2 linked regions of the Tribolium castaneum genome follow. The protein of the gene in region 1 purifies or fractionates together with the protein of each later gene. This does not show direct contact. Links are inferred from orthologs where the notes say so. Each region holds a gene or a part of one and is shown on either strand. Other genes may lie near its edges.

Region 1 (9,656 bases):
CAGTTGATGTCAAGAATGGCACCACTGCTCGGAAGAGATGTCACAGAGAGGGTGTTTTTGAAGAGGTTTTCGGAAATGTGTGAAAGTAGTATGTTTTACACGAGGAAAATGTGTGCGGCACATATCGGCGATTTTGCTGTTGTTGTGGGAAAACAACCGTTCCACAGAACTTTGGTAAGTGAAAAAAAAAATTATAAAACGTGATCACTTGCACAAGAAAGTAATGATGAGTTTACTTTTCACGATGGTCTTCTGATAAAATTTGAACGATAGCTTACACCATTCTGAAATTTTTTCTATTCAAATTTTTGTCTGTTTTTCGTAATACGTAGGTTGTTAAAGTAGTCGTCGGTTTTTGTTTCTAGTTGCCGTGTTATATAGCATTGTGTGAAGACTCAATATGGGGCGTTCGAAAGTCATGTGCTGAAGTAATAATGTTTATATCAACTGTAAGTGCACCCGAAGTACGTCGAAGGGTACTAGCACCGGTTTTTGCAAGATTATTGCAAGATGATTGTCGTTGGGTCCAAATGTCAGCATTCCAAGCATTGGGGCCTTTTATTATAACTTACGCCAATCCTCCTTTAACCAGCACGGCCTATAATAGTCAAGGCGAATTAATTTTTGTGAATAAAGATGGTCAAGAGTTTTTGTAAGTCGTAGTTAAATTTTCGGAGAAGTGGGTAAAACTGAATCAAAATTTTTTCCTTAGAATGAATGTTGCCAAAGAGACTAACGATGTCCGATTCAAATACTTGCCACGTCAGCCGTCTCCTCTCAGTTCAGATTTAAGCCAATCGTGCAGCGAAGTAGGAATTGGCGATTGGCAAGGTGTTGAAGATGTATTGCAAGAGAAAGACGACGAATGTGCGAGTAGCGAATTGGAAAGCGAGCGATTACCTGAGGAGAATTTCGATTTGGATTCGGGTAGTTTGATAGCGCAAAGCGACGAAGATATAAAAGAGATTGTGGAAACGGTGAAAAATGCTGTACTCAGCTATAGAAACGTGGAACAAGAACACGGTGTGATAGGCGATAACTTAAAAACTAACTTAAGCAATGCAAATGTGATAAGTAATTTAAAAAATGCGAGTTGTGATAAATTAGGTAGCGAATTAGATGCCGAATTTGCAAATTTGAGTCTGAGTATAGACGAACCAAGTACGTCAAAAATGTGTGATGATGTCGCTGATGATGGTGCGGAAACAACCGTCGAACAAAATCAGGTAATTTTGAATAGTGAGAGTGAAAAAGAAGACGATAACTTACACTTGTACAATTCATACAATTATTGGTATATAAGACCTGAAATGCCATTAGATCTCAGTTTAATCGAGGAGATTCAAATCGATCGAGGTAAAGTGGACGATACAACGGTGAGTAATTCATGCTTCTACTAATAACGTCACGAGTGTGTCATCATAAATTGCATGGCTTTTTTAATAATTAAGTGTAATTTTTAACGCTCGTTAATACCTCATTTTCGTGACGTAACTGTAAGTATTTTCTTGGTAATTTATGATGATACATTTTAGATTTTTTTGTGATGAAATTTAACGACGGTCTTCTGAGACGTACGTGAAGTCACCCAAAACGTTATTCTGAAACTATTTCAATGATGAAAAATACGTTGCGTCAGAGTTTTATTTACTGAAACGTTTTGTTTTTTATTGTAGGCAGGAGATACATTTGCTGAGATTAATTTAAATGAAAATTTGGCCGAAAGTAACAAAAATGATGCCCCAACTGATACAGGTAAGGTTTAGTAAATGTTTACTTACTAGTTACTTAGTATAACTAACTGTTAACTGACCAAAAATGATTAGAACATACAAAACGACAACCGTGAAGATAATTTTGTATAAGGCAGACTATGATTTTTTTGTTTTTTCTTAAATGCACTCGCGAAATGAGGGTCAAATATTGCACGATTTTTTTTTTCAGCTTCGGAGTCGAAGGAGGTTGCGAAAACCGAGCCGGTGCAAGACATTGTTCCTCAAGTGTTGATATCTCATTACTTTTTAATGACGGATTCTTCGTTTTCCTCAAATATAGACAACGAGATGTCGTACCATTGCGCCTATTCACTGCCGGCAATCGCACTAACGTTAGAAAATAAAAATTGGCCACTTTTAAAACGTACCATCGAATTATTGGCTAGTGATATGCATTACAAAGTACGAAGAACTGTAGCGAGTAGTTTACACGAATTAGCGTTTATTTTGGGTCAAGACATCGCATCGGAACATTTAACACCAATTTTCGAAGGCTTTATCAAGGATTTGGACGAAGTCCGAATAGGAATTTTGCGAAATTTGGCCTACTTTTTAAAGATTATTAAACCGGCCAAAAGATTGGCGTGCTTGCCTCGGCTACAGGAGTTTTTAAAAACGGAAACTGAATGGAATTGGCGATTCCGTCACGAGTTGGCTAAGCAGCTCCTGTCTATTGTTACACTCTTCAAACCAGTGGATTCGGCCAAACATATTGGGGTTATTGGGGAAGTTTTGCTATTTGATGTTTCCGCCGTGCGCCAAATTGCGATTTCTTTGGTAGTTATTTTTTAGTTTTAATAGTGGCAGTGTTTAATTTTAAATTACAGATCACCGAATTGTTGAGGCACATTTCATCAAAGCCCGATCTCAGCTCACTTTACCTAGTCAGATTAGTGGAGAAATTTGCTCATTCGAAAAAATGGAAGAGGAGACAAACGTTTGCCCTCCTGTGTTACAAACTTTTATCGGCCAAAGCCTTGCCTGCGGAAAAATTTGCAACCGAAATTATGCCTCATTTGTTGGACTTGAGTTGGGATCCAGTGGCTAATGTGAGATTAGTTGTGGCAAAAACAATCGCACAACATGTTATTCCCAACGGTGAGTGCTTCGAGTGTTGCGTTTTTGTGTGATTTATTTTTTTGGTTTCAGAGTATTTTGCGGATCCCAGTAATCAACATTTCGATAGTTTAGGAACTGTAATAAGGAGGCTCCAAGCCGATAAGGATCGTGATGTGCGTCAGTATGCGGAAATCAGTGATAAATTTGAATCGGTCTCACCTACACTTAGTTTGGATTACATTGACTAAATAAATTACAGTAAAGTTGTTTTGTTTTTATTCTTGGGTTTATGAACTTTGTTGTAATTTTAATTAAATCTTGTGAGCTATATACATTGTAATATTTATCTATAAGTTGTAATATAAGTAAAAACAATAAATTTAAACAATTGTCCTACGTAAAGGTTTTTTCCTACTTACACTTTACCTGACGTAGTTATAGATAATGCGCAAGTGCAGAAAGTTTGAGGTTATGTAATTCCTAACAATTTGATTTATTAGTTGATTCGGTTTAAAATGATGAAAGGTTCAATAATTACGTTAATTCTCACCTCCCTTTGTGCCGTAAGTGCCCTCCCAAGTGTTAATCAAGCCCTAAAAATAACTTTCAGACAAAATGCCTTTCCGAATTCACTACAGAAGACTGTTGGGCCCTCGGCTTCAACAAGGCAAATTTGTTGTGTTCGTCATGTGAGCAGCTCTCTAAATTCAATCTGGACGTGATAAAGTACGCATTTCGTCCCAAATTATCGTTTTTTTTTAATTAGTTTCTTAGGGACCATTGCAAGGAGTGTTGCCACCAGGACGAGTCAGCCACCGTGGAAAAGAAATACGCAAAGGCGGTTCTAGAGGTTTGTACTTGCAAATTTGGGGCGTATCCGCAGATTCAGGCGTTTATTAAAAGTTCCCGGCCTTTGCAATTTCCTAACCTACAAATTAAATACGTAAGGGGGCTTGACCCCATCATTAAATTGTACGACAAGGATGGGACGTTGCAAGAGACCGTTGCTATTGAAAAGTGGAACACTGATTCAGTTGAGGAGTTCTTGAAAACTCACTTACAACAAGACGATGATGATTATTTAAGAACAAATATGATTTAGCTATAATAAAAAACGAGTGATTTGGAATTGTTTATTGCTCATTCGTCACCAGTGAGACAACATCGTCATTTATCACAACATTCGGTAATTTCTTCAATTTTTTGTTGTACTTCTTGACTGTCTTTTCGGTGTGTTCGCACCCTGTTTCCTTCACATATGCGTTGAGAACCTTCTTTTGCAACTTCTTACACGAAATACTGCCTTTTACACTCAGAATTCTTAAAATTGTTCCCTTGAAACTAAATACATCATCCTCACTAGTTTTATTATCTTCGACTTCTTCCCCTGTCTTTATCTTCTTGTTAACGGGCGCTTCGCCACAATCGCCGTTCAATTTATGTTTAGTTCCATTCTCTTGTTGGTTATTTTTACTTTGTTCGTTTTTGTGTTTCTCAATCAAGCCCCAGGCAGCTTCAATGTCGTCAAAATTGACTCTACCTCCGGTGGAGCTTTTCAAAAAATTCTGAAACACTTCTTGTAATTTTTTTATACAATTTTGCCCCCAAAAACCCACAATAAACTTGACTTTTTTCCTTGGAACATTCGTGTAGTTTGAAATTGTCTTAAATAAATTTCTCAGAGACGGTTTCATACTAGTTTCCGTGTCCACAATGGACTTGATCATGTCGGTCCACGATTCCTGTTTCACTTCCCCTTTTTTAACAATCCCACCAGGAATTGAGCCCTTAGCTGCGTACCTTTCCTCCTCTGTGATACATTTAGTGTGAACTGCATATTCTTCATTCCTAATAATTTAAACGTAAATTTGATGCTACAAGGGCGCGAATACGTACTTAAAATCCTTAAAACAATCAACACAAGTCAGTGACTTCGGCCTCCGGCACTGAAAACTGTAGTGTTTCTCAACACGTGGTTTTTGGAGACTCTCGCCACAGTGATTGCACGTGAAAACCACCATTATTATCAAATTAAACAACAATTTGCAACAATTTCGTGACTACGACTTCACCCCCAATTGAATAATTAACTCGAAACGAAAAAAAATTCGTTTTGAAAGTGGGGCTGCCTGACACTAGTAACATTTATTTAGGGAGTTCGGTGTGGGCACTGTTGGTTGCATTGCGTTTTGACAAGTCCAAGTGCGTGGATGTATATTTTGCTATGATTAGTTTTAATTTGAATTAAAATGACTTATCTAAAATCTTGGGAAGAATTCGAAAAAGCTGCCGAGAAATTGTACCTTCAGGCACCGTCAAAAGCGCGCTACACGATGAAATACGTGCATTCAAAAAATGTGTTAATTTTAAAAATGACAGATGATGTGGTGGTAAGGCATTAAAAGGCTGTTTGTGGACTGTTCCCAGCGTTTATTTTCAGTGTTTACAATTCAAAACGGAGATTGCCCAAGATGTGCGAAAAATAGACAAATTTATCAACAATTTAATGCGACATATGGCATCAAAAGAACACTAACATAACCTCAAACGTCAATGCAATCGCATTTGTGAGTGGGTCTTATTTGAATAAAAAGCATTCAGTTTGTATAAGTTTCATTTACAGTGTAAGCACGATACATTTAAATAAAAATTTTCCTAAATACACGTCTCAAATTTACAAATCATAATAAATAGTTTTTACATGTAACAGATATAAAACAACGATAAAATATTATGTATCAATAACATATTCACAAGCTAAAATATCGTCCAAGTTGTTTTTTTTATAAACGTTACTAATCTAAAACCGCTAATGTTTAGTATTTCAATTAATGTTAAATATCATTTTGCTTAATTAACTTGTGGACACTTGCCACACAATCAAGTGACTTTTTTCCCCTTTGGATTCGCCCTGAGCTGCTTCAAGATCACCGGTTTCAGTATCAATAACGCTATCCTCCATCTCATCACCTAAAAACCGCAACAACTCAAAAAATCCCCCCCGAAAAAAACAAAAAATAAACAAAACGTACCCCACAGGATTCCCAGGAATATCAGGCAAAACCTGCCAAACGAGCAGATGCGAGTCTCCATCTCTCGGTTCATTTTCGTCCTCTGCAAATGTCTCTCTGTTAGTAACCTCCTCCAACACTTAATATTCCTAGGAATCCGTTTTAGCCCCCTTTTTATACTCACCGACGCGGAAATCGATGTAACCTTCGCCCCCCGACATCACCAGCATTGCCGACGGCTGCTTGGGGGGCAACCCGATCGAAGTCGCAGAAGTCGACAGTGCCTCTGAAGGCGTCGAAGCCGCGCTCATTCCTTTACATTTATTTTAGTTTTTTCAATTTCAATAAAAAAAATTTACCTCCGTTTCCGGGGACGGCGACAAAAAATTTCACGTTATCTCTATGGCCGTGGAAGCTGAGTTGAGCGTGGGCCATGGTACAAAAAGGGATAAAGCTTCCGGGAACGGGAGCAACACGTACTCCCGCTCCGGGAAGACTGGTTGATCCCCGGGGAACTATGCTTCCGGTGTTTGCCCCGTTCTCGCTCAATGGAACGGAAATTATGACACCGTTGCTTGTGCCAATCCAGAGGCGGTTTGACGATATCAAAAGACACGTTATGCGCACGAAGGAAAAGCCCAGCTTTCCAGTACCTAACACGTTATTTGTTTATTTCGAAAAATTTATCAATTTTATTCAGGGTGTCTCAGCTAAGACTTTTAAGCCTGATATCTCATACATTTGTCAACGGATTTTTATGAAATTTAAAATAACAATCCGTTGACAAATAATTGAGATATTAAACTCGAAAGTCTTGTATAAATTGTCTAAATTTTCTCATTTTTTTTCTGAAATATTTAAAAAACTCACCCAACATCTTGCTGACGTACGGCTCAATATCCACATCCTGCAAATGCTGGTAGGTATGAGCATGGTACAGTCTTAAAGTCGAATCTAAACGAATCGAAACCCAAACACCTTCACCCAACCACGCAATTTGTCGCACCTATTGTATAAAAAAATTATCATTTAATTAAATATAAATGTGATTAAAAATTACGGGACTTTCACGTCGAGGATGCGCTTCCAGCGAATGAATTATTCCCAATTCTTGTGGTTCAAGCACGTGAATTTTATTCCTATATCCGCACCAGACTTTATCTCCAACAACAGCCAAACAACGAACGGACTGATGTGGTAAACCCACTTGTACCAAATGGTAACGGGACAAGTCCCATTCTCCATCATCGTTTCGTGCGAAAATTGCCAAAGTACCACAAGCCAAAGCACAAACGACACGGCCATTTATATGTCTGCAAAAAATTGCCATTCTCTTCATTCCGCTCAAACTTTGATAATTATCATTTATCGGAATACAAAGAAAAAAACGGTGTTTTTTGGCCGAGATAAAGAAGGTTAGTTAGTTACGTGATCACTTCAGTCTTTTGTGTGTTTTCGGACGGTAAACGTCGTTTAATTTATCAATAATTTATCGTGGTGCCTCAACAAGACTTCACACAAACGGTAGGAATTTTTGCGTGTTTTAAATAGAGTTAAGTCCGGTTGTAACGAACTAAATGTGACGCAATTTTCCGTTTATAACAAACTTTTCACCGAGTTTTGAGGAATATGTTGGTTGATAATAATGATAAAGCAGCAAGAGAAGTGTTAACTAACCCTTCACTTCAGCGTTTAAAAATTCGTCAAAGATCGCAATATCATTAGGTTTACGTCATTTAAATACTTTTTTTCAAAGTTAACATGATTAATAGAGTGACATTTGAGAAAATACAATTTTAAAATTTTTGTTAGTCCCAAAGTTATTATCACTACCCAAATTAAAAAATTACAATTTATAAAAAAAATTGATTACTAGAAAATTATTAGAAAAAGATTTGTGAGGATCTGTTTAGGTCGATGATTTTCAAAAGAAAAAAATTCCTATTATTTATTTGAATTTTTCAAGTTAAATTACTTACACAATACTTATCACTGCATCTTTAAGTTTGACGGAATGCAGACACTGATTCCAATTGGCCACCGATGAGTGAACATAAACCATTCCATTTTCCGCTCCTAGCCACATTGTTGCCAAAACACTCGACATTATTTCCTGATTGCTCGTTTTATTCTTATCACTTTCACCCACATTTTCATCAGTTTCATCCTCAACAGGTTGTTCCTCAATTTTCTCTTCATCCACCGTTGATTTTGCATTATTATATTTGTCTTTTTTATTAACCACAGAAGTATCGTTTTCAACAAACGTAACTTTCCCAATCTGTAACCAAAAAAACAAATAGAAAAGTTCACACTTTTGCAACACTGTGACTCACCAAAGCCGCCTCTTCCAACTCTTCGTGATTTTTATCATTCGTTTTGTTTGTATTATTTTCCCCTTCGTCTTCTTTATTTTCTACGACGTTATCACTGCTGTCTTTTGCATTCTCACTAACGTTAATTTTGGTATACGTTTTATTATAATCGTTTGGACTAGCACCAGGTACACTAGCAATGCATAAAACATGGTTTGCACAAACCCCAAAACTATTCAAAATCTCCGCTGGATTATTCGCATCGATTACGGTTACTAAACTAGCAGCATGTGTGTATGTACAAATCCACACAAGTGACGATAATTTTGTCTCGAGAAGTGCCCCTTCACGACCTGCATTCAGCTCCTGATCCAGAGTCTCTAGCTCGGTGTGGGGCTGCTCCAGGCGGGGCTCTTCCGAGTAGAAGACACTGCCCCCCACCTTAAAAAACATTATTTAATCATTTAAATTCTTTCGCTGGATTTTAGCTCATATTTTTTTTTTAATTATTTACCATAAGCCCCCCATCTTTGGTGTAACCCCCCATGAGATTAACACCCGCTGCACACCAAATCTTCATCCCGGGCGTAGTTTCAGCCAATGGCCTACAATAAACCGGGACCGGGACCGGAACCCCGGAACTACTTTGTGTTCCTTTCGTTCCCGGACCAACTTTTCCGGGCAAACTCCAACCATACGCTTGCAATCTTCCATCCTCTTTTCGCACATGCGCTCTCACTTGTCGGTACTGTTCTCGTCTCTCAACAGCCCTCCTCAAAGCCAACTTTTCCGAACCTACAATTTTTTTCAAATAATTTTTTTTTCCTCGACCTTGATTGTGAGGTACTTACTATTTGTATCTACTGTCACTTGCACTACAACAGGCTGTATTTACATAAAGAAAAAGAGAGAGAGAGAAAATAAAAATAAAACACGAAAGGAAATTATTAAAATGTATTTGTAACAAACGTAACAATTATTGTGGTAACAAATTGAGTAAGACTAGATTAGTTACCGTAACTTTGGATTAATAAATGGATAAAAAATAATTGAACATTCCGTGTTTCATTACAGTCGGGGGTTAAAAAAAAATCATGCACTCCAACGCACCACCAAAAGCAGACAGGTCTACCAACCCAAATTTCGATTTTTGCTCAGATCTACTCTAGTAGTAACATATCACAGATTGACAGCAGGTACAAATAGTAAGAAAATAATCACACTTCCGTACCCAATTCAGTTTCGACAAAGTCATGACCGGGTCGAGGCAGGGCTCTAACACCTGGCGCTATTTGATTGGTCGCCGTCTGGTAACGTAGATGTGGACCAACCAATGGTCTTTGCGGCCGCTCCGAACCACTAAACAAATTACTAAAGAACCTCCAAATGCTCTGTTTGCTCTTTTTGTCAAAGGCGGTGTCGTTACGGGACGCTCGAATCATCTCCGTCCAACGGACGGCTTCTTGCAACTCCATGAAGCGCTCCTAATTTATTTT
Region 2 (11,510 bases), about 25 Mb from region 1:
AATAAATCAGCTTTTTTATTAATGGACAACACAGCTAAACAAATAGTCAGTTGGAAAACAAAAAGAAGTATTTTTTAGGAAATTAAAACCTTAGGTACTTTACTTAAAAAAGCTGACACAACATAATTGTTTTTTATATATTTTTATGTAAAATTAGCATGAAAACATTTAATTTGACACCTAAACACAAAAAATGCATAGTGCGTAATTATTATCTTATTTCTATACTGTGATTCGCTTCTGAACCCTTCATTTGTCAATGCAAAGTAAATGACAACTTAGTTCAAACTGGTTAATTTCTCAGCTAAATTTTCAGTCTTCAGTAAATTAGCTCGTTTATTAATGGACAACACAGCTAAACAAATACTCAGTTGCGTTGGAAAACTAAAAAAAGTATTTTTAATTTAATTAGAAAATTAAAATCTTAGGTACTTCTACTTAAAAAAAGCTGACACATCATATTTATTTTTTATAAATTTTTTTGTAAAATTAGCATGAAATCTGACACCTAAACACAAAAAATGAACAAAAAAACCATCATTTCTTAATCTTAATAATCCTTTTGTGTAATACTCTCAATAACTTTTTTTAATTTTATTTTCTTTTTTTTTAATTTTTTGCTATATTTTTTTGAATTTTTTGAATTTTGAATACCAGAAAGATAACAATGTGTACTATCTAAAACACAAATGAAAAATGGCATGTGTAATTGCAAAAATTGTAGCATTAAAAAAATAAAATCGACATGTTTAAGGATTTTTTTTGAAAAATTATCAAAAAAAAACGAATTAAAGATATGAATTTTGTGTGTTAATTTTGGTTCAGTCTGTATATTCGGTTTCCAATCTTTCCAATTCCAATGTAAATTTTTATAAATATTTTTCTCTTTTATTTAATGAATTTTCATTGCACTAAATTTGCCCCTATGATCCAGAATAACCCATAACTATGCAATTTTTTCCTATTGGCAATAGCTGTTGGTGTTGTCATTTTTTCAATAGTTTGAAATAGAATTTTCATAATTATTGATGGACGCGATTTTCTTGGTACTAAATTTATCAGTGGGTTTCTTTTTAACATTTGTAACACAGAATTCTTCTATTATACATTATGTTTAAACTTGTTTCAATTTTATTCTTAAAAATGCAATTCCGTTGTTGCGGATGTGGACTGTAAAAATTATGTAAAATTATATTTGGAAGTAGCTATAGAGATGTTTTTATATTATTGTTTTTATATTTATTGTGACAAATAAATAATGAACTTTTGCACTATTTGAAAATTTGAAAAACGGAAATAAAAGAACTTAAAAAAATTATTAATGTAGACGGTACGTATTTTCAGAGCACGCTGCGAACACGGTTGAAGATTAAAAAATATATTTAGAACAAAGTTGTAGTGAATTAAATTTTATTTAAAAAGTCTTTGACATAAGAAATTTATTTTACTACATTTTTTTCCTTAATTTGTTTAATATCGTCCTCTGTATTAATATAGTTTTTGATACAATTTTTTGATTAACTTTATTTCCTTCTATTGATGCTTCATATGTCTGTATTTTTTTGTGCTCATGGTTACTTAAATTAGGTATTATAAATTAATCATGAATCGAATTGCAAATCTAATTTCAAAACTGGTTAAATTGAATTAAATCATCTTGACAAAAATAACAAATATTGTAGGTCGAGTGTCTTTGACCCAAAGCGGCAGCTTGAGTATATTTTCATCTCGAGAACAGGAGTATGAACAAAGGGCGCAGCTCTTGAAACGTCTCGCGTATGTGATATTTTGTAGCGAAATGGACCAATATGCCAAATACATGCCGGACATACAAGGTAACAATAATTTTTTTTCTAGTTAAAACTCGCTAAACCAAAATATTTAATTTCTTTAGAACAATTGACAAGTAGTCTAAGACTGAATGTGCCAGGTGTACAAGCACAAGTTTTTCTTTGTTTTCGTGTCATCCTGATACGTATGAGTCCAATACACATTACATCACTATGGCCTATTATCATAAGCGAAATGTTACAAGTTTTTCTCCAAATCGAGCAAGAACTGTTGACCGACACCGAGGAATTTAGGTGAGGTTTTTCAGTTTTTTTGTATGTTGGGTATTGGATTTTATGTTATTTGTCAGACATGTTCATTTGTTTTGTTACAGTAGAGGGGTAATTAAGTAGTCGAAAAAACTGTAGCTAAGTTGGCCATTCGGCAAAAGGTCTGTTTTTTGCAATTAACAGTTTTGATTATTTTGTAGAACTTTTGAGACTAACAAGTGTAGTACAGTAAAACCTCTATAGTTCGAATCAATTTCTGTTTCGTATTAATTTTTTTATTAACAAATAAAAAGTGACAAAAAAATTAATAAAAATAATTGTTTGGATTATAAGAGGTTCGGTAAAAGTCGTGTACTGTAGTAGTTTGACCAACTATAGGTTACATTTTTTTCGATTGGGGTTTTGTTGGGTTGTTTTCTTAGTGGTGGAATATTTTGTATCTTAGTTATGTCACTAATGAGGGCTTTAGTAGTTTTCTAGAAATGCTATTGGTATATTCTAACAAAATTTTGTTTGTTTGCAACATGTTGGCTGCGATCGCAGGACGGGCAACAGGTAATTAAAAATAATTGTAATTAATTAAAGCATGCTTTTGTGTACTAACATTTCTAATTAATTATTGTAATCCGTTTGCATGTTTTTGGATAAGGTTTTTTTTCAAGTTGAACAAAATTTGATTGTTTTTATTTATTTTTTCTTCTGTTGACTGTTAAGGCTATGTTTAAACTAAAAAATTATTTGTTCGTGAGATTTTGCTAAACCTGGCTGAAAAATCAAGGAATTACGTCTAAAATGATGTGATTTATGCTTTTTTGGGCATTCTGGCTTGTTTTTTATTGACAAACTTATAATTATATCGGGCAATTTCAGCTAAAAAAGCTGAAAAATTATTAATATTTTGTTGCTTTAAGCTTTTTCTGATTTTCCGCAACATTTCGCTGACTCGAACTAATTAGAAGAAATTACTAAGTTATATTGGACATAAAATTGTTGTTTTAGCATGTTTTTTTTTAAACTAAAACTGTTGAAAAAATTATTAAAAATGTGAAAAATGATTTTTCGAGAATTTAGCACATTTTTTCATCCAGAAATGCAATTATATTTTACGAAATTTTGTCGAAAATAGTTGAAAATTTAGCAAATTAGTTAGAAAAAGGTGTAATTTTTTTATTTTCAAATGGGCAAGTATGTTATCGAACTGAAAACCCGGCTTTTTCGAAATTTCGGCTAAAATATGTTACATTTTGTAAGTTTTGGTGCGTTTTTTAACTAGAAACGCAGTTTTTCAAAATTTTATTAAATGGACCAAAAAAGTTCTTAATTATTACTGATTTTGCGAACGCCATTAAAAAGTAACACAAATTGGTTCAAAGTGTCATGTTTTAATATTTTTGATCGACTGTTTTAGCATGTTTTTCAATTAGAAAAGCAATTATTAATGAAAATTTTGTTAAGAGTACATCAAATGATGGTAGAATTGGCTAGAAATCGTGTTGTTTTTCTCTTTTTCATGTGTTTTATTACGTTTTTCGTAGCAAATGCAATTATTTTAGGAAAATTTGCTGACGAAGTTGAGTCGCAAATAACATTATTTTGCTTTTTCAGCCTTTTAACCAGCAATACTCAATTAATGACTCATAATCTTTAAGGTTTTCGTAAAAAAATAAGCACTAAAATTAAGAAATTAGTTCGAAAGTGATTCTATTTTATCTTTTTTGAACGTGTAAGCACGTTTTTCACTAAAAACTGCACTTGTACTGGATTTGGCTAAAGAGTGTCCAAAAATTTTGACAACTACGTCTTCAAGCTTTTTTTCTTTTAGAGAATTGCTACGTTTTTCAGCTAAAAACACAATTACGTCGCGAAATTTTTAATTTTTTTGGAAACTACTGTATTTTTCTACAGTTTTTACAATTCTTAAAATTGGATCACAAATGATTTGATTTTTTTATGGTGGTGTTATCACAACCACTAATTTCTAGAAATTCCAGCAAAAATAAGCGGAAAAATTACTAAGTTATTAAGTTTATAACATGTCTTTTTCCTTGTTTTTTTTTTTCTCAAATAAGTTAAAAACATGTTCAGGCTTGAAATATTACATAAAGTTGGTCGTTCTCGAGAGTTTTTGTACGTTTTTTAATTAGAAACGCAATTATTTTGCAAAATTTTATTAAAAAGTATCCGAAAAACTTTTTAGTTACAAGGTTGAAAATAGTGTGGTTTAAGCACATTTTTAAACCAAAAATTAGCTCTTTGGCGGTATTTCGCTTAACTGTGCTGAGAAGTCACAAAATGTGGTTAAAAATGATACATACTAACCTAACTCATGTCGAAAGTGTTTACACTTTTTAGCCAGAAATGCCATAATATTATGTGTAAAAAAATTCTAGAATATTTTTCTTTTTAGTGTTGAGCGCGTTTTTGATGTCTTTTTCTGACATTTTACTAACTAGGCCGAAAATCACTGCATGTCCTAAAAGTGATATTATTTTGTTTTTATCGGCTGTTTTAGCAGATTTTTCACCTAGAAAACGCTTTTATTTAAGGGAAATTTTGATAAGAATGGGCCGAATAATCGCCGAATTGATACGAAAATCTTTTTCATGTAGTTAAGTTAAAAAAAACATATATTCGGTTCACTTTCATAAAAACCATTGTGGTGCAAATAGCATACCCTTGGCATTAAATTTTATATGAGTTGTCATGGTAACAGCTTAGTCATTTGCACCACAATGGTTTTTATTAAAGTGAACCGAAAATAGGTGCTTTATGAAATTTTTTATACTTCTCAAAAATCGGTTAAAAATGAAAATTACATTTTTCGGGATTTTTATTATGTTTTTTAGCTAGAAAGCCATATTTTGAAGAATTTCGTTAAGTTCATTAAATACTTCAAATTGGTGTTGTATTTCTGTCTACTAAACACCGTTACATTAACATTATTTAACTCTAAACTTTTCTTTCATTAAAAAAGGTTTTTAGAACATTGACGAGTATAAATCCTTTTTTAATAAGATCAGCATTTATCATCAGACTCCCATGGTCAAGCCTTATCCAAGAACATAATTTTAGTGTTTTTTATTATATTTGGATTTTTGTAGTTATCATATAAAGCTGTTATCAACCCTTGACGCAAGTTGGTCGACGAATAGCAACAACGGTTTGCACGCCTTGGGCCACCCTCATTGGTTGAGACTACAGTTGGCCACGGCTAAGTTACTAGATTTGGCGTTGTTGTTGCCAGCTGTTACTTTACCCCAGTTTCAAATGTAAGTTTTTTGTGTTTTTTTTCTTAAAACAAAAAATGATTTTTTTTAGGTATCGGTGGGCATTTGTGGGGGATGATTTAGAACGGCTCCACAGTTCGGCAGGGGCTTCATTTATCCCACACGTGGTCAGGATAGCCAACCTGATGGATAAAAAATTCACTGATACACAAATCGAAACTCTGCCAATGAAACGAAATGAATTATTACTAACTATGAACAGTATTAACCAACTAAAGGATCTGCACAGCTTTTTCAAAACTCTTAGTCTATGTTCTAATCGACATAGGACAGAATGTAGCAAAATAACAACCAGCGATCATCACACGTTAAATGATAGACAGTCTGATAAAAAATTGATCATGATCTTGGAGAAAATCGACAAAGTCATTGAAATGGATTTTCTTGATAAAATTCCGCGATAAGTGTAATTTTCAATTTCCAAAGAGTTCAGTATTGAAATGAGTTGTGGAAAATGTCGTGACGTGGCAATTATTTTTATTGTTTTGTTATTTATTGACTTGTTTTTTGTCTTTGTTATTGCGGGTGTAATTTTATTGTAAATATGATAGCATTTAAAAGATTGTGATTTTATATTGTGATGTAATAAGATGTTAATAGCATTGCCTAAATGTAATTATTTGTATTTAACTCTGTAGATAATTATACACTTTGCTACAATGGGTTCAAGCGCATTTCATTCAAATCTGGCGCCACACCCACCATTGCCAACCAATGCCAAGTTTTTTTTGGTGGAACCTTAGCCACATCCCACAACCAGCATGTCACCAACTTGTCAAAATTGTTGAAACATTTTTAACAACAAATAAAGCATTAACTGTGTGAAACGAAGCTTCCACGATGGTTTTAGCAGACTTAGGTCGTAAAATAACGACTGCTTTGCAGTCGTTAAGCAAAGCAACGATAATAAACGAAGAGGTAAAGTCTTCCAGATGGTGTTGAGGTTAGGTGAGCCCCCAATGTTTTGCAGGTTCTCAATGGAATGCTCAAGGAAATATGTGCAGCTCTGCTTGAAGCCGATGTAAATATCCGTCTCGTGAAAAAACTGCGGGAAAATGTGAGGGCGGTTATTGATTTTGATGAGATGGCAGGGGGCTTGAACAAGCGGAGGATGATCCAGAGTGCCGTTTTCAAAGAGCTCGTTAAAGTAGGAACAGTTTGTTTGTCGAATTTTGGTTATAAGTGGTGTTTATAGCTTGTCGATCCCGGTGTCAAGCCATACCAGCCTGTTAAAGGCAAACCCAATGTTATTATGTTTGTTGGGCTTCAAGGCTCAGGGAAAACCACAACTTGTACAAAGCTGGCATATCATTATCAGAAGAAAAATTGGAAGTCGTGTTTAGTGTGTGCGGACACGTTCAGGGCTGGTGCCTATGACCAGGTTAAACAAAATTGCACAAAAGCAAGAATCCCGTTTTACGGAAGGTAATGTTACAGATTTTTGCACTAAGGAATTTGTTTTAATCATTTGAAATATCAAGGTTAACTAGTTAAAAACATTGGAGTGACCTATAGTTTTTAAATTACGTTGGTAACAATGAATGAAATTAACACCTGTGTGATTGAATTAAAAAATGCGGTTTCGTTTTAAGAAAATTTGTTAAAGAACAATTTACACAAACTGATAATGACGACTTTATACTCAGTTCCAACAAAAAAATTAAGCAATATGACAATAATTATTGAAACCATTTGCAGAAAAATGGTCGAACTACGTTAATTCCAAACAGATAACACCACAGATTTTAACACTTAACACTGTCTTACCTATTACCTATTACCCTATGGTCATAAATTTATAAATAAGACTTGCATGTCATTAGTGGATAATTTTTCTTATTCGGTGTAACCGAATATGATGTTATTTCAATATTATTAACAACTTCAATGCTTCATGTGAAGATAAAATTTCTAATAACTTATGAAGTAACTACATGAACATGTAGATAATAAATTTATTATTTAAATAGGATATTTTTTCAAATAAACTGTAATTTTTTAATGTTATTCTTCTAAAAAAAAAAAGGTTTGAAAATTGGTTTATCTAATTACAAAGTTATAAGTTTGTGTTCCAGTATTTTTAAGCTAATAGAACTACATGTTTTCCAATTATAGTTCAGGACAGTAAAATCATTTGTAGAAAAGATGAATTGTAATTAAAATTAAGTATCCAAATAACAACATGTGTAACAAAAAATAGAAAATTTCGGTTTTTTTACACCATATACCTACTACAGGATGTTTGATTCGTTTTTTGTAGTTCAGTTATTATTTAAGTTAGATTTTTCATTTTTTGTAGTCGCTATTTGTATTCTAAGACACATTTCAGGAAAATATTTTTCATTATACAGATTGCCCTAAAAAACTGTGACATTTTTAATGGTATGCTATTAATTTTTGTGATAACTTTCATTTCCCTAAGAAAAATTCAAATCGGTTCAGGAATTCCTGTTAAAAAAATAACAAAAAATTGGTTTTGCACCCGTAATTTTAAAATATGGATAAAAAGTACAAACATTAAAGGTACCGAAAGAAAATTACAATCAAACTTGACTTGAATTACCATAGTGTTCACAATTAAGAAAAAAAGTTTGATTTTTAATTTAGCATCGAATGATAATAATTAAAAATAAACAGAATAAGTCTCATCTTCAACTTTTATTCAGTAAAAATCTGTCATTAAATTTTGTTTACAAATAACTTTGATTGTGTTAGGATTTACGGTAGGGTGGTACGTATTAAGAAAGTATGTTTGTTTCTTAATTCCGCATAAGCTGATATAAAAAAAAACATTCTTAAAAACTACTTAAAAACTAAAAATGCCTGAAGTTCAAAAAGTTCTATAGTAAATTATTATGTGGCATAAATACCAAAATCTTACCATAGAATATTTTTTTTAATTATTCTGCATAAACACAGATTGAGTACTTTAAAAAAATAATAATATAAGTTGCTTCCTAGATCTACCTTTGTGCATTTTTATCCATTTTTGACAGTTTGTTGGTCGTAACTTGTTGAAACTGTATTCAGTCTTTTTTGTCTAACTATTCATTTTACGAAAATTATTTATTATAATTATTTTAAAAATGTAATCTTTTTTTAAAAACTGATTCCTTTTATGTAGTTTTTTAATTATCCTAAAAAATATTTTAAATGCCAGAATGGCACCATACCACGACAATTTTTTTGGTTAAGTATGATACTCTAAAAATGACTTCTAGTTCATTAATACGAGTACTGATTAAATCAGTATTTTTTAAAATAAATTATCTAAGTTGCGTAATTCTTTTTTTTGTAAACACACCCTCACGTTATGACTTACGAGTTATGAGACTATTTTCATTGTGAATATCTTGATTTTTTACAATATGAAACATCTTCGGTCAAGTTCGAAAAATTTATGTGATGATTTCGGAACTAAACTTCAATAATTCATTATTTATCAAAAAAAATAACTCTGGTAATATTTTTATCTTAATTTTAACTTAAATCAAAACATATTTTTTTACATAAAAAATGATAATATTTGATAATGTATAAATTTTATTTTTGTGTAATTTGTGAAATTGTAATTTGGTTCCATACTTTTGTTCTGTAACTTTTGTTTTGTAACTACTCGAAAGTGTAATGTATAATTTTGGAAAATTTTTTCTAATTCATAGGTTTTAATAACTACTTAGTTTTACTTTGTATAGAATTACAGTTATAAACACATAATTTATGATATTTCTGTAAGATCCGATTTATTGATTTAATTTAATTCGCAATTAAATGTGTTATAATCTTTTAACAACGAATTAAATTTTAACAAAGCTTTATATAAACCGGTCCTAGTATTAATTAGTGTATTATTATTACTATAAAAACGAAAAACCTAATAACACGGGCATTTAACACACTAACAAAAAACACAGTATTGTGTACATCATTAAATATTTCCAACTTAGTTTCAAATCACAATGAATTAATTTTAGTTACACTGAGGTGGACCCAGTGGTGATAGCGCAAGATGGTGTCGACATGTTCAAAAAAGAGGGTTTTGAGATTATTATTGTGGATACGAGCGGAAGACATAAGCAAGAAGAATCATTATTTGAAGAGATGTTGGCAGTTTCAAACGCCATTGTATGTGAAAATTTCCAATTTAAATTTTGTGTAATTTTTGTGGCTTTAGCAACCTGACAATATTATTTTCGTCATGGACGCCACCATAGGTCAAGCTTGTGAAGCTCAAGCGAAAGCTTTTAAAGAAAAAGTCGATGTAGGGTCTGTAATTATCACAAAATTGGACGGACATGCCAAGGGTGGAGGCGCCCTCAGTGCGTAAGTCGAGTATTTTATTTTACAAAGACGGAAATTTTAATAGAAAAAATCAATCAGGGTGGCTGCTACCAACAGTCCGATTATTTACATTGGTACAGGGGAACATATTGATGATTTAGAGCCGTTCAAGACCAAACCTTTCGTCAGTAAATTGCTAGGAATGGGCGATATTGAGGGTCTCATAGACAAAGTAAATGAATTGAAACTAGAAGATAATGAAGAATTGTTAGAGAAAATCAAACATGGACAGTTCACACTTAGAGATATGTACGAACAGTTTCAGAACATCATGAAAATGGGACCCTTCTCACAAATTATGGTATGTACTTCTTTTAGTCATAATAGTCATAACACACAAATGAATTATTTTTTATTGCGTTTTTCACACCATAAATATGTACCATTAAAAAATCCTGAGTCAAAATGTATGTACAAAAATTTCGACGAAAAGCCGAAAAGTCACGTAATAGTTTTTCTTTTTCTTTTAATGCTTTAAGTTAGAAACGTCAATTTCGTGCGAAATTTGCTTACATTAGACAAAAATTTGCAGTGAAGATGGAAAATGACTTCTTTTTTGTTAGGACTACACTTTTCAGCAAAAAACTTACAAAGGAAGTCTCGGAAATTACATTGTTGTCTCCTTTCTAGTTAGATTTATCTTTTTGAGTGAGGAATTTTGCAAAATTTAAAATTGAATCAAAAATTACAGTTTTTTGGTGTGTATGGAATGATTTATGGCTCGTTTTTGCTAAAAAATGTGGGCATTTATATTTTTTAGACATTATTTTGAGGTAAAAAATTTCTTTTACGGTATATCCCTATAATGAAGATCGAAGACGAGATAATTATTTTTTTTTGATCATTTTTTGCACAAAAGAAACAATCTTATTTTGTGAAATTTTGGCAAAAGTTGCACAAATTATTATGTAGAAATTTAAGTACAATCACCCAAAATTAAAATGACGCGCGTCCTAGTTCGTCAAGACGTATTGTTACTTTGTGAGGTCAAAAAATTTGTTTGCAAACTTAATTTACTAAATAAGATTGATTATTTCAACTTATTTCCCTTGGTTTAATTTGTTTAATTTATTTTTGGATTAAATACTCATTTATTTTTCAAAATTGATCAAAAAATGACTAAAAACTACAAAAAGGTTGAAAAAAAACACAAAATTCTGTTATTAAAACGTGTTAACCTTTTCCTCCTAGTTAAAAAATCACAAAATTAGAATGGAGATATTTTATTGGGCTTATTTTTCTTGATTTAGCTCGTTTTTGAACAAGAAATTGTTGTGGAACTAAGTCTTCTGCGAGATTTCGCTAGAGGAGGCTCAAAAAGCGCCAACTTAAGTCTAGCCCTACATAATTTTTGTTTTTTTTGAGGGTTTTAGCACATTCTTAAATTAGAAACTTAATTTTGTTAAGATTAAATAAGCCGATAATGGTACTATTATTTTTATTTTTTCGAGAGTTTAAGCACATTTTAAGGTCACAACAAAAGTCTTTTAATCTTTTAATTAATTTCGCTAACAATGGCTGGAAAATCACGAAATGTTAATCCAAATTGATTGCAATTGCGCTTATTTGATTTGTTTCACGTGATTTTTCAGCGAAATCTCTTCGAAAATAAACCGAAAGAAATTATAAAGTTTTTTTAAGCTAGTAAACACGTACTGATGTTATATTTTTAGTTTCTTATTTTCTTTAGTTTTAGTTTAGTATTTAGTTTCTTTAGTTTAGTTATTTTTTAGTTTCTCATTTCTTTACAGCCAGAAACTATCTGCCACAGTTTTATAAAATACCAACTAAAGCTGGACTGAAAATTGTATAAATTCTGCGT

The links. The genes of interacting proteins can lie anywhere in the genome.
Region 2: the proteins of Srp9 (region 1) and Srp54k purify together in Homo sapiens (co-immunoprecipitation; 4 studies listed by BioGRID and IntAct, counting the BioPlex papers as one, with this or other methods). This does not show direct contact. The link is inferred for Tribolium castaneum from reciprocal best matches to the Homo sapiens genes SRP9 and SRP54.

Annotation. Positions count from the first base shown.
Region 1 is NC_087394.1:36,812,886-36,822,541, reverse strand, and holds Srp9 (signal recognition particle 9 kDa protein), read left to right. Parts: upstream 1-5,083; coding exon 5,084-5,224; intron 5,225-5,274; coding exon 5,275-5,370; 3' UTR 5,371-5,498; downstream 5,499-9,656. Other genes in the region: serine/threonine-protein phosphatase 4 regulatory subunit 1, read left to right, coding at 4-174, 366-652, 713-1,376, 1,677-1,755, 1,945-2,552, 2,603-2,873, 2,925-3,082; selenoprotein F, read left to right, coding at 3,350-3,397, 3,445-3,560, 3,609-3,936; uncharacterized protein C16C10.8, read right to left, coding at 3,968-4,399, 4,451-4,682, 4,731-4,855; syd (JNK-interacting protein 3), read right to left, coding at 5,689-5,804, 6,030-6,158, 6,205-6,498, 6,716-6,851, 6,906-7,158, 7,825-8,126, 8,182-8,601, 8,675-8,955 and 1 more. UniProt on the Homo sapiens protein: Component of the signal recognition particle (SRP) complex, a ribonucleoprotein complex that mediates the cotranslational targeting of secretory and membrane proteins to the endoplasmic reticulum (ER).
Region 2 is NC_087394.1:11,693,200-11,704,709, forward strand, and holds the start of Srp54k (signal recognition particle subunit SRP54), read left to right. Parts: upstream 1-6,056; 5' UTR 6,057-6,187; coding exon 6,188-6,265; intron 6,266-6,317; coding exon 6,318-6,494; intron 6,495-6,542; coding exon 6,543-6,772; intron 6,773-9,321; coding exon 9,322-9,472; intron 9,473-9,521; coding exon 9,522-9,670; intron 9,671-9,727; coding exon 9,728-9,989; intron 9,990-11,510. Other genes in the region: protein dopey-1 homolog, read left to right, coding at 1,683-1,835, 1,895-2,084, 2,604-2,615, 5,162-5,329, 5,379-5,751. UniProt on the Homo sapiens protein: Component of the signal recognition particle (SRP) complex, a ribonucleoprotein complex that mediates the cotranslational targeting of secretory and membrane proteins to the endoplasmic reticulum (ER).